Linked DNA regions of Callithrix jacchus. The protein of the gene in region 1 interacts with the protein of each later gene in a biochemical or structural test. Links are inferred from orthologs where the notes say so. Each region holds a gene or a part of one and is shown in the gene's direction. Other genes may lie near its edges.

Region 1 (7,547 bases):
TACAAACTTGCCTCTTCTAGACATTTCATATACATGGAATTATATAATATGTGATATTTTGTGTATAGCTTCTTTCATTTAGCATAATGTTTTCAAAGTTCATCTGTATTGTAGCTTATATCAGTACTTCATTCCTTTTTATTGCCGGATAATATTCCATTGTATGGATATACCATATTATGCATATCATTCATAAAGTGATGACCATTTGGGTTGTTTCCACTTTTTGGCTATGATGAATAATGTTACTGTGAACATTCATGTACATGTTTTCATTTCTCCTGGTACATACCTAGGGGTAGAATTGGTAGGTCATATGATAGCTCTATGTTAACTTTTTGAGGAATGCCCAGATCATTTTCCAAAGTGGCTATACCATTTTACATCCCTACCAATAATATATAAGGTTCCAATTTCTCTATATCCTCACCAACTTTTTAATCTGTGTTTTTTTTTATCATAGCCATCCTAGTGGATATAAAATGGCATCTCAGTGTGCTTTTGATTTGCATTTCTCTGAAGGCTAATGATAACACCTTTTCATGTGTTTACTGGCTATGTATATATCTTCTTTAGAGAAATGTCTATTCAGATCCTTTGCCTAATTTTTTTTTTTTTTTGAGTTGGGAGTCTTGCTCTGTTACCCTGGCTAGAATGCAGTGGCACAATCTCAGCTCACTGCAACCTCCCTCCAGGGTTCAAGTGATTCTCCTGCCTCAGCCTCCGGAGTAGCTGGGATTATAGGTGCACACCACCACATCTGGCTAATTTTTGTATTTTTAGTAGAAACAGGGTTTCTCCATGTTGGTCAGGCTGGTTTCAACCTTCTGACCTTGTGATCAGCCCACCTTAGCCTCCCAAAGTGCTGGGATTACAGGCGTAAACCACCACCCCCAGCTCAAATCTGAAGTTGTTAAGATTTATTCCTGTTTGTCTCCAAAAGGTTTATAGTTTTAGTTCTTACATTTAGGTTTTGCTCCATTTTGACCTAATTTTTTAATATAGTTGAGGTAGGAGTCCAGCCTCATTCCCTTGTTAGTGAATATCTTGTTGTTCCAGCACCAGTTGTTGAAAAGGTTTTTTTTCTCTTGTCATTGACAGTTGTCAAAAAATCAGTTGACTGTAAATATATAAATATTTATTTCTGGACTCTTAATTCTGTTTCACTGATCTACATAAGCTATTCTTACGCCAGGACTACCCTGTCTACACTTGGCTAGTAGAATGCCAAGCCAAAGATGATTTTTGGCATTCTTGCCAATAGTAGATGAGAGCAAGAATGTTGCAGAAGTAATGAGTACTTAAATTAGGCTATAAAGTTCATACAAATAAAGTCTGACATTTAAAGTCACAGGGAATCATTTTTAAATATCTTCTATTGAAATGTAATACACATATATAAAAACCTGCATCTCAAAAGGATACCTTCTAATGAAAATTCATCAACTAACTTAGTTATATAACCAACATCCAGATCAAGAAACAAAACATTGTCAACAACACATAAGACTCTCTTACATGCCCTTCCAGTCACCTTACCCTCACCACTACCACCAAGTATGTTCAATATTATCTGCTAGTTTGAAACATTTTAACACCTGGCTTTTTTAAGTGCTAGTTATGCAAAATTAACTGATTCTAGTTTCAACTTTTCTGGGAAACATTTAAGGGACAGGAGCCAAAGTTAGGGTAATTTACAAACCAGGTGATCAGTCCTAAATAATTGAGCCTTGGTCATTTGCATTTTGTTCTTTAAATACACTTTGGGTTAAACACTTCATGTAGAGTTTCAAATTGAGCTCAGTATGGAAAGAAATAACTATGTAGGAAATTAAACTTTTCTTTTTTGAGGCTAAAAGGAAGAAAACTATTTTTTTTTAGAGCAAAACCACATAATAAAATTCTGACTAGTTTTACATCATATTTATTTACTAGATTATGATGTGTTCCATGTATGGCATATGCAAAGTGAAGAATATAGACCTTAAATTCAAAATCATTGTAACAGCATACAAAGATCTTCCTCATGCTGTTCAGGAGGTAGGTGATTTTCCATAGTAAGTTTGATAAATCCATATCTGTAATAAAGATAATTTTATTCATTCACAGGCTCATATATTCTGATCTTATGTAAATTTACAAATAAAAATTTTTATATTATTTATTTGTAACTTAAATGCTTAAATGGAATTGGAAAGATAAGATAAATTATGAAATTATCCATATTCGTGGTTTTTTTATAAATTTAACAAGTAATGCTTTATCTGTGTAATAAGCAAGTATTTATAATAAACCTGGCATGAGTCATAGTACATTAGATGATCTTTTATTTTTATTACTTTATAGGAAAAGTCAGCATAAATGCAACCTTGCAAAGAAATAATAAATATGTTCAGTATAAACACATTTTGTATTTCTAAACACATTTACCTTCCCTTTAGAGAAACAGGAGTAGTAAAATATACTTGGTATGACACGTTTCATACGGTTCTGTGGAAAGTGAGTTGTGGGATATCTTTCCCATTTATTATTAGAGTTTTCAAAAGTAATACAAACCAAGTCATTTTTGTTTGTATGTTTGAAGTTATTTTAAATTCAATCATTTAAGTGTATAATGTGTCAGAGGCATTTGATATAACCTCTGTGTTTTTACCTAACTAAAATTTGAGTGAAATCTAACACTAAAATATAGTGCTTTTACTAAGTGTCTACTTCCTGCAATTGAGTAATGCTATTTAAACCCTTATAGAATGGGGCGATACAGGGAGGTACAGGCCAGAGGATATAGTCTAAATATTAATGGATAATGTCATTGGCTTTCACTTAGTTCTGGCCCTTTGATTCCCATAATGCTTTCCATTCTACCAGCCTGTCTACTCTCTCTTCTTGGATGGCCAGCTATTCCATCTGCTGCCTGGCTGTTTTTCTCAATAATCCTATGACATTTCGCTTCTAGTAGAGCATCTATAATTCAAACCTAAGAAGGCATTTTAGATTATTTTTTCCTGTATAATATGTGCTTCTTACCAGTCAAAAAGTTTTACAAACTTTTAGAAAAGAAAATCTAAAGGTAGAAATTTTAAAATTAATTTAACAAGTGAATTTTACTTTTTTTTTTTTACTCTTCTTCCTCAGACTTTCAAACGTGTTTTGATCAAAGAAGAGGAGTATGATTCTATTATAGTATTCTATAACTCAGTCTTCATGCAGAGACTGAAAACAAATATTTTGCAGTATGCTTCCACCAGGGTAAGTCAAAAGTATCCTTTGATTGGAAATATCTAATTATAAAGTAATGGGTCCCATTAAAACATTAAATAAATAATACTACTTTTTTGTTTTTGCTCTAGCCCCCTACCTTGTCACCAATACCTCACATTCCTCGAAGCCCTTATAAGTTTCCTAGTTCACCCTTACGGATTCCTGGAGGGAACATCTATATATCACCCCTGAAGAGTCCATATAAAATTTCAGAAGGTCTGCCAACACCAACAAAAATGACTCCAGGAACAAGGTGTGTGTATTTTCTCGTTAGAGAGGTAGTAAAGAATGAAAGGGGGATAATTTTGATCCAAGAATAAAAATACAACGCTTTCTTCATTTCAAATAAGCTAGACTCTTGAGTCTATTTGTTTATTTAAGTAACATAATGAGAATCTAGGGGGAAAGAAAATCTATTTACTTGGATGGGTTTACAAATTTAGTTATCAGATTTCCTGACTGCTAGGGGTATCTTCTTTTGTAAACAGTTTTTGAACCAGTTTGGTTATATGTTTCAAAACACTTTAATATTTTTGTAAGTAGTCAATCTGCTAAACAATGCAGGTTACTTTAGGTTGAGTACTTTTAGTTTGTAGTTTATTGGATGTCCTATAAATTTTGCTTCCTGTGGATTTTGTTCATTCTGCTGGTTATATTAAATGTAGATTACTGTCAATTAAGTCTTTAGAGGTCCATTCCTAATCCTGTTGGCAACCTCTTTACCACCTTACCTTGGGCAGGTCTCTATCTCTACTACACAAGGGTGCTGTGGATCAGCAAAATGATTAGTATGAAGCTGTTTTAAATTCTAAGATGAAAGGTTGTGTGCAACTATAAATCATTATATTATCTTCCCATCCAACCACAAGTGCTCTCTGGCTTTGAAGTGCTTCAGTTGACTAATTATATATTATCAGGGGCTATTTGAAACTGACTTTATTTGTGTAAAGTAGGAGGCAGATTAGCTAGTATAGTTAATGTAGTCTCATTTCAGAAATTGTCAGCCCATATGGTTGTCCCTCATGGACAAGAAAAGGGAGATATATTAGTCTTTTAGAAAATATTTGCATGGTATATTTAATTATTTAAGTAGTACATACTCATGGTAAAAATTGCAAACTCTACAGAAAAATATGAAGTAATAAATAACTGGCAATATGATACAAATGCTCTCATGTGCCTCTATATCATCCTTTATTTATTTGGTGTTCTTATAGTTGGATATCTGTGTACTGACTCCTTCTACTTGTTCCAAGCTGTTAAAATGCCACGTTATCTCTATATAAGAAAATTTACAGGCCGGGTGTGGTGGCTCACACCTGTAATCCAAGCACTTTGGAGGCCAAGGCGGGCGGATCACCTGAGGTTGTGAGTTCAAGACCAGTCTGACAAACATGGTGAAACCCCGTCTTTAAACAAAACAAAACAAAACAAACAAAACAAAAAAATTTATACAGTCCCATGCCACTGTATGAAAATGTATACTTAGGTAGTTTTTTAATAGTGATTATTAATCCATATTATGGTGATAATGATGGCTACTTCCTGATCCTTAGTGAAATCAATTGTGTTGTATTCTTTAGCAAAAAAGTCACATTCTGAACATTCTAACTAATAAATCATTGATCAGGCATTAGGAGAGCATTATATTTAGAATGATGACCACTTATCAAGGAATTGGAGGACAAAAAAAAACTTTATATGCACTAGTTCCATGTTCATGTTTTCAAATCTTTGTTGAGTCATGTCAAGCTAATGATGTTCTTCAGCTTTATTATCAAGAACATAACTTATATGGTTTAAATAAAGACAGACTAATAAAGATTTCTGACTATATATTTGATATATGATAACTAGCCTTTACTATACCAATATAGATGCTAATTAGAATTCTGATTATTAATATTCTAAGTTTTTGCCAAATATAACTTGAATTTTAAATGAGAAAATATGAAAGAAATTTGATAACTTACTCATTGATTTATGAAGAACTAAGTAGGGGTAAACTTGAAAATTTCCTTTGCTCTCCTTAAATATGGGGAATGGCAAAATATGTTCTTGCAGACCTATGGTTTTTGCTTTAAAACTAAGAGACCAGGTGAGTATATGATTAAATGGGCACTGTTAGAATAATCCCCAAATGAATATAGTTTGTCAGTGGTTCTAGGGTAGAGGTAGCCTTTAACTTGGAATTCCTGATAGTTCAGAATAGTATATCTATGCTCATCTCTGCAAAATTGTACATGATTTTTATTACTAATTGGTATTTCATCTTAACTTGACAGAATCTTAGTATCAATTGGTGAATCATTTGGGGTGAGTATTTTATTTCTATGAAATGTAATAGTACACATTGTAAGTATAAAAGTAATTAGAGTTTTCTATAATTTGAATTTGCAAATACAATTATTCAAACACCTCACTCAGGCATATTGCGTAGAATTTTATGAGATATATATATCTCAGATTTACTTTCAAATCAAGTTTAATCTCCATTTATACTCCTAACTAGTGAACTTCAAAACTTTTCTAAATATTCCTTTGAGATTATATAATACACATATATACATTTGTGTGTATACATGCATATATATGTGAGTTGTTTTTGCTCACACTTCTATCACCCAATATGTGAGATTCTTTTTTTTTTTTTTCTCAAACAAATCTGTTCTTCAACTCTCTTGTGTTCTACAATTCAATTTATTTCTAACACTAATTACCCAGAGTCAGCATCAGACTCCACAGGTTCAAGGGCTCAGTCCCACAAAACTGGTCTCACTGCAGACACCCGTCACAACTGTCAGGCCCCCAGGCTACACCACACTTCCATCTGACTTGGATACAAAGTTAGGGGGTTCCCATGTGCCTCTTCCTTAGGTTTGATCACTTGCCAGAATTAGTCACAAAACTCTGGAAAAAATTTTACTTATTATTATCAGTTCATTATAAAAGATGCAAATGAACAGCCCAATGAAGAGGTATTATACAGGGTGAGGTCCAGAAGAGTCCCTAGCACAGGAGCTTCTGTCCCAGGGAGTTGAGGTACACCACCTTCGCAGCACTTGGACATGTTTACCAACTCGAAAGGTCTCCCAACCTTGTTGTTGACAGGTTTTTATGGGGGTTTCATTATGTAGGCATAACCAATTAACTCAATCTCCAACCCTCTCCGCTCCCCGGATAGAGGGTGGGGCTCAAAGTTCCAAGCTTCTACTCAAGACTTGGTCTTTCTGGCAACCAGCTCTCATTCTGATTAGCCAGGTCCCCACCAAGTGTCACCTCATTAGAACAAAAGATGCAGGCCGGGTGCGGTGGCTCAAGCCTGTAATCCCAGCACTTTGGGAGGCCGAGGCGGGTGGATCACGAGGTCAAGAGATTGAGACCATTCTGGTCAACATGGTGAAACCCCGTCTCTGCTAAAAATACAAAAAATTTGCTGGGCACGGTGGCGCATGCCTGTAATCCCAGCTACTCAGGAGGCTGAGGCAGGAGAATTGCCTGAACCCAGGAGGCGGAGGTTGCAGTGAGCCGAGATTGCGCCATTGCACTCCAGCCTGGGCAACAAGAGCGAAACTCCGTCTCAAAAAAAAAAAAAGAACAAAAGATGGTCCTATCACCCTTATCACTTAGGAAATTTCAAAGGTTCTAGGAGCTCTGTTCCAGGAACCGGGGACAAAGACCAAATATCTTCCTATGATACTATGTATGTATGTACATAACCTCGTATGAATTATGAGAATGATTTGAAATGACATACTCCAAAATGTAAGCCCTACATCCAAATGTCACCAGCCTGTCCCTGCGTCTTCTCTTTCCATACATACACACTTTTTGTTTGTCCTTCCTCTCAGACTTCTCAGACTTCTAGGATATTCTTTTTCTGGTACACTGGTTAGGAATTGGTTACATGAGACTCTGACTCAATGAAAGTGGCAGGGCTTCATTCTAAGAGATCCAAGGGAAAACTTTGCTTTGAAACATTTATTCTAGACTGCAAATCCTCGACTCTAGTTGACCTTCCATTAAAGTCGCTAATTCAGCAGTCTCAGATTCAGTACGCATTACTATTATTATGTTGCATTGCACCATCTCCACACTTTCTGAGAGCATATTTTTAATTTTTTTTTAATTTTAATTTTTAGAGACAGTGTCTCACTCTGTCACCTACTCATTGTAACCTCAAACTTTTGGGCTCAAGTAATCCTCTCACCTTAGCCTCCCAAGTTGCCAGAACTACAGGCATGCAGCACCATGTCCAGCTAATTTTTAAACTTTTTGTAGAGACA
Region 2 (7,012 bases), on another chromosome or scaffold:
CAACTGCATGGATTAATGTCTGCTTTGATACTTAGGCTTGCCGAGGGACAGAGCTCGATGATGGCATCCAGGCCGATTCGGGGCCCATCAATGACACAGATGCTAATCCCCGATATAAGATCCCAGTGGAAGCTGACTTTCTCTTTGCCTATTCCACGGTGCCAGGTATCACGTTTATTGTCTACTAAGCATACTTCAGTCCATTCCATCATCAAAACACAGACTTGGGGGCTGTATTAGTTTCCTCTTGCTGCAGTAATACATCGTTACAAACATAGTGGCTGAAAATACACAAAGAACCTCCTGCATTCCTTGGCTGTGGCCCCTTCCTTCATCTTCAAAGCCAGCAACTTTGCATCTCTCTGACCCTTCTGTTGTGACAGTGCTCTCTTTCTGACCACAGCTGAGAAAGGACTCCTGTGATTAGATGGGACCCACCTGGACACTCCAGGATCATCTCCCCATCAGTCCAATAACCTCAACCACATCTGCAAAGTCCTTTTTCCACAGCAGGTTTCATGTTCACAGATTCTGGGGTTAGGGGATGACATCTGTGAGCACCGTTATTCTGCCTACCACAGAAGTGCATTCCCTTTTCTCTCCAGGAAAGCTGACTTGGGACTTGATCTTGGACTTCCCAGCCTTCATAACGTAGAGAAATAGACATCAGTTGTTTAAACCACCTAGTCTAAGGTATTTTGCTATAGCAGCCCAAGAAGACTGACACACCCTGCGATCCAGCCCCGAGTTTTACCAAATGCACTGGGCTATCCGGCCCCTCAGCACTCCATCTGACAAGCGATTTATTATTATTATTTATTATCATTATTCTTATTGGTAATTATAAGGACAAACATTTCTATAGTGCTTTACAATACAGAGTATCTTTCATGTGTCTTTTCTCATATTATCCTTATAATAATAGCATACATATTTAGGAAAGGTATTATTGCTGTCCTGATTTTACAGATAAAAGAATTTTCAGTTTAGATGAGCTTACGTGATTTCGGTATGCAGTGGAGCTGTGGCTCAGACCAAGGTTCCTTTACGCTGCAGCCTGTACACAGGTACCAGAAAATGCCAGTAATGGGCAAGCCTACTCACTTTACCAAGTGCCACATTAGACTGAGTCTGTACAGTGAAAGTCCTTCCTTTGCTTTGGGTACAAACCAGCACTGAGTTAGAATTTTCCCAGCTGTGCTAGTACTTTTGTCAAGTGTTTGGCACAAAGGTACTGGTTACAGTAAGTAGGACGGTGTGTTTGGAAAACCAGCTCTAGCAGCATCTACAGATGGGATTTTGTGAGAGCGATAATTTCACAAGTTTTAAGGATGGTATAAGATAGAAAATAATTTGGTCTTCCTGCTCTTGAGAGGGAGGTGGTGTAATGGAGGCATATGTCTGCATAAACAAACCCAGTGGTAGACTTGTAGGTGCTCTGAGCAAGGAGGCAGATGAGAAAAACCATGTTTTATTTTTTATTTTTAATCATATATATATATATATTTTTTTTTTTTTTTTTTTTTTTTTTTTTGGGAGTCTCACTCTGTCGTCCAGGCTGGAATGCAGTGGCATGATCTCGGCTCACTGCAACCTCCACCTCCCGGTTCCAGCGATTCTCCTGCCTCAGCCTCTTGAATAGCTGGGATTACAGGCACACGCCACCATGCCCAGCTAATTTTTATATTCTTAGTAGAGATGGGGTTTCACTACATTGGTCAGGCTGGTCTCAAACTCCTGACCTTGTGACCTGCCCGCCTTGGCCTCCCAAAGTGTTGGAATTACAGGTGTGAGCCACCCCACCTGGGCAAGAAAAGTGATGTTAAAAAGGAGCTGCTGTAACTGAGCCTAAAATTTCAAACAACATGGGTAAGAGAAAGATGGCTTGTCAGATGGAGTGCTGAGGGGCCAGATACCCCAGTGCATTTGGTAAAACTCAGGGCTGGATCAGAGTATATCAGTTCTTCTTGGGCTGCTATAGCAAAATACCTTAGAGTAAGTGGCTTAAACAACAGACGCTTATTTCTCTAAGTTATGGAGACTGTGAAGTCTAAGATCAAGTTGCTGGCTCAGTCAGTTTCTGGTGAGGGCCCCCTTCCTAGCTCATAAATGTCCCTTCTTGCTATGTTCTCACATGACAGAGATTGACCTAGACAGAGTGAGGCCTCTGGTGTCTCTTCTTATAAGGACACCAGTCCTCTTGGATCAGAGCCCTACCCTAGTGACTTCATTGAATCTTAATTACCTCTATAAAGGCCCTGCCTTTAAACAGTCACATTATGGGGTGTGGCCTCAACAAATGAATTTTGGGAAGACAGTTCAGTCCATACCACAGGATGTTGCAGAGCATGGCCAGGGTCAAACCAGGACAGGGAGGCAAGTGGCCCTACTGTGGTGGGCCCTGTGTGCTGTGCCAAGCAGCCTGAACTTTACCCAGATAATGTGGGGAAAGGAAACCATTTTAGGTTAGGGAGTTATAGGATGAGATTTCCCCTTCCAGGGCATCAGGCTCTCCTAGCCCTGCCCCTCAGACAGTTGGGCATTCAGCTTCCTCGTGCCGCTAGATTTCTTCAGCAAGATCCAACTCTACTCCCCTGTATCCCAGCAGCAGGAACACATTTTCCGAGGTTCTCTGCAAATTCTTTCTCTAGTAGGCTTGGATTAGAAAGTAGAACAGACCCTGAAAGGGTGGTGAGGAGTTCCAGAGTTATGGAATAGACCTCTAGTATTTCCTTTGGAAGTCTGCACATCCAGATCTGTCTCACACTGTCTCACACCCATGTATCTGAGGTGTATCAAGTGGGTACCTCCATCAGAACTGACACAGGAAAGGACCCTGGCAACATCCACCAATGCTGGCCCTTAGTGATGTCTGTCGTTGGATTTCCATGCTGAAATACCCAAAGCGCTTTTCAGCATCTTCATGCCAACCCTCTAAATCTCAGATGTTTGCTCTCTGAGCACACTAGCATAATTCTCATTAATGACTTGTGTGCAGAGTAGGGTGAAACTGTTTCTGAAAAGCAGGTGTGAAAGCCCATCCACTCATTCTCATTGGTGAGTGGAGCAGCTGTCAGAATTAGCTGATTTGATTGTCTCCTTTCTTTCCTGTTGAAGGCTATTACTCTTGGAGGAGCCCAGGAAGTGGCTCCTGGTTTGTGCAAGCCCTCTGCTCCATCCTGGAGGAGCATGGGAAAGACCTGGAGATCATGCAGATCCTCACCAGGGTGAATGGCAGAGTGGCCAGGCACTTCGAGTCTCAGTCTGATAACCCACACTTCCATGAGAAGAAGCAGATCCCCTGTGTGGTCTCCATGCTCACCAAAGAACTCTACTTCAGTTAATAACCATACCAGGGGTGCATTCTAGCTGAGAAGCAATGGATCAGGTTCTTTTTTTTTTTTTTTTTGATGCTCTTGAAATATTGAGAAATTCTCCAGGATAATAATTTCAGGAAAATGTATTAATTCAACAGGGAAGAAACTTTCTGGTGCTGTCTTTTGTTCTCTGAATTTTCAAAGACTTTTTTAATAATGTTATTCATTTGGTGACTGTAACTTTCTCTTAAGATTAATTTTCTCTTTGTATGTCTTTTACCTTGTTATTAGACTTAACACATGCAACAAAAGTGACCTCTGGAGAAGGCTCATGCCTGTGTCCACTGTAATTGGTGGTGACATTGGTAGTCGGAGCCATCTTTGCACTTGGTAAAGAGAATCCCAGTGTTTGACAAAACACAGCCAAGGGGATATTTACTGACCTTTTTTCGGAATGTGGATATTGAGTGTGATCTGAATGATTTTTCATTGGCTTAGGGCAGATTTTGATGCAAAAATTCCCAGATAAGTTCAAGGAAAAAAGTTTAATGATTCTGATATGTATCTGTCAGGGTCCAGTCTGGAAAGCAAACTAGAAACAGAAACACCATTCTACGTGTTTCAACAGAGGGAATTTAATACAGGAAACTGACTTACATAGATGATAGAAGAAAAGCTAAACAGCAAGAAGCTGTTTCCACACCCAGGGCTATGAGGATAACGGTTTCCTGAATCCATAGTAGGGTCATTCAGAGGGGCTGGAACCATGGTGGGGGCTCCCTAGGCGGAGCTAGGACCACCAATGGATTGTGAAAAGCCAAGCCATGACAAGGACAAAGCCACTGCCTGAGATGGAGTGAGCTGAGTCAGTTACAGAGAATACTTTGGTCTCACCTCTCCTGCTCTCACATCTTCCACCAGCACCTTATCATTCCAGGACTACCTGGAAGCCACCTTGCCAAGGCCCTTGGAAGAGCAAGGGACAGTGAGGCAGGAGAATGACAAGAAATGAATAAGCCTGGCCCATAATGTGAACATAAGTAATCACTTTCTCTAATGTTCAACAATTCATCCATTCAATCATTCATTGGGGTGTCAGATGGTCTACATATGTGTAAAATAATCTGTTTTGGCTTTATGTGCAAAGTCTGTTATAGCTTTAAAATATATCTGGAACTTTATAGATTATTCCAAGCCTCATTTTGAGTAAATATTTGTTACTTCTAGTTCTATAAGTGAGGAAGAGTTTATGGCAAAGATTTTTGGCACTTTGTTTTCAAGGTGGTGTTATCTTTTGAATTCTTGAAAATTACTGTTTTTTTTTCTCCCTAGTAGTAACTGGTTAACAAACAAATGTTCATATTTACTGATTAAAAATGTGGTTGCTTAATTCCTAACCAGTCTTGTTTACTTTCCTTTTGAAATTATTTATTGTGATGGAAAAATGAGAAAACAGGATAAGAATTGACCCTATTGGCTGGGCACAGTGGCTCACGCCTATAATCCCAGCACTTTGGGAGGCAGAGGTGGGTGGATCATTTGAGGTCAGGAGTTCGAGACCAGTCTAGCCAACATGGTAAAACCCCACCTATACTAAAAATACAAAAAAAAAAAAAAAAAAAATAGCCTGGTGTGGTGGTGGGCCCCTGTAGTCCCAGCTACTCAGGAGGCTGAGGTAGGATAATTGCTTGAAACTGGGAAGTGGAAGTTGCAGTGAGCCAAGATTGTACCACTGCAAAAAAAAAAAGAATTGACCCTTTTGGCTTGACCTCAACACATAATATATAATTTTTTTTGAAGTTAGTACACTAATAAAATAAGTAATCACTTGGGAAAGCCGGGACTCCTCACATAAAAGGTCAATCAACTTAGAAAGAAGTTTGTGATGGGCTGCCATTTATTAATTTTGACAATAAAATTAGACAACATAAAAGTATCTTCTTTCAAATAAGAAAACTAATTTCGGGTGAGTTTATTAGACCTGTCCCTGGTTTCCTGCCATCTAAAATATTCTAAATGTACAAAACCGGAGATCATAACAAGCATCTACCCTACTATTCCCAGAATTCACAGGCCGTTCTTTGGATAATAAGCTATCTATTAAAGGTCTCTATCATATAAATCAAAGGGCCTACGTGTATTGCAGTAAAAACCATAGCAATCTAGTTATTTGCCTTTAACCTTCATTAAAGGGAAGAATGCTCCCAAGTGTCAGGATTAATTTTTCCAGATCTCTCTAGGCAGTTATAGGTTGCAGATAATGAATATTACCGTATATCCCAAAGACTTTTAATAGTTTTAGTCCTTGAATGCTTCCATGGGCAGACCCTTATTTATTGAGATCGGAAACCCTAGTTCAAGTTGGGAATGTCATACCACCTTCATTCTAAACTTTCCAGACTTTCTATATTCCAAAAGTCTGATGACCAGTTACCCTGCAGGAGAACTCAGTCCTGGTGAATATACATTCCAAGTTCTCATGATTCAGAACCCCAATTCCTCCTTGCAGGAGTATCAGACAGGGCACTGCCCTTGTCCCAGACTACAGCTTCCCCACTGGCTTTATGAACCCAAAGCTGGATTTCTGTTTGTATTTTTGTTTTCCTCAAAGTGCCATTAGGTTAAAGTTTTAGCTATTGGGCCACGTTCGGTGGCTCATGCCTGTAATCCCAGCACTTTGGGAGGCCAAGGCAGGCAGATCACCTGAGGTCAGGAGTTTGAGACCAGCCTGACTAACATGGTGAAACCCCATCTCTACTAAAAATACAAAAATTAGCCAGATATGGTGGCAGGCACCTGTAATGCCAGCTACTCTGGAGGCTGAGGCAGGAGAATCACTTGAACTCAGGAGGTGGAAGTTGCAGTGAGCTGAGATCTTGCCACTGCACTCCAGCCTTGGAGACAGAGCAAGACTGTCTCAAAAAAAAAAAAAAAGAAAAAGAAAAACTAACCATATATATATATATATATATATATATATATATATATATATATGAACTATTAATACATTCACAGACAGCTTTCGGCTCTGCCCTAGGCTTTTTCTCTGAGCAAATTTCCAGCAGCCATCATTGGCCCAATACATTTATGAATTGCTACAAATCGGTCTGAAAATAAAGTCCTGGGGTCACTGAATTTACATGATTTAAAACTTCAAGGAAACCAAGGCCTGTCTGTGAAAAAGAAAACAACATCCACTCAAACATCCTAGACATGGACTGACAAATCCTTATTTTGCCCAGTCTTGCAAGTGCATCACCTGAAATTTATTACCAGCTACTCTGGTGACCCACGGATTGATTCCCTTTGACTTCTTGGAAGCACACCTCTTCTGCCAGCTTTTCATCTTTCAGGCCCTTTTCTAGAAACATCTGGCCAGGTAAGAGGCTGTGTTGGTCATCAGTTTACAGCAACAATTCCTCTGTGTTAATTGGCCAGTGGAGAAGTAGCTGCAGCCCAGGTATCCTTAAGAGTCCTTCAAAGACATGCGGATTGGAAAGCGCCTTTACACAGTTTGCCTTGTACATGTTTTAGTGTCTTGCAACACTGAGCGAATGCCTGGCCTGGGTGCATCGGCATCCCCTGGGAACTTGTCAGAAATGCAGACTCTCAGGCCCCGCCCCAGACCAACTCAATGTGAATCTGCATTTTAACCAGACTCCCAAGTGACCCATGTCACATTACAGTTTAGGAAG

The links.
Region 2: of the proteins of RB1 (region 1) and CASP7, one has a biochemical effect on the other in vitro, tested with the Homo sapiens proteins (2 studies listed by BioGRID). The link is inferred for Callithrix jacchus from reciprocal best matches to the Homo sapiens genes RB1 and CASP7.

Annotation. Positions count from the first base shown.
Region 1 is NC_133502.1:67,482,191-67,489,737, reverse strand, and holds part of RB1 (retinoblastoma-associated protein), read left to right. Parts: intron 1-1,935; coding exon 1,936-2,040; intron 2,041-3,135; coding exon 3,136-3,249; intron 3,250-3,350; coding exon 3,351-3,514; intron 3,515-5,546; coding exon 5,547-5,577; intron 5,578-7,547. UniProt on the Homo sapiens protein: Tumor suppressor that is a key regulator of the G1/S transition of the cell cycle. The hypophosphorylated form binds transcription regulators of the E2F family, preventing transcription of E2F-responsive genes.
Region 2 is NC_133513.1:106,664,016-106,671,027, forward strand, and holds the end of CASP7 (caspase-7), read left to right. Parts: intron 1-35; coding exon 36-165; intron 166-3,117; coding exon 3,118-3,344; 3' UTR 3,345-4,714; downstream 4,715-7,012. UniProt on the Homo sapiens protein: Thiol protease involved in different programmed cell death processes, such as apoptosis, pyroptosis or granzyme-mediated programmed cell death, by proteolytically cleaving target proteins.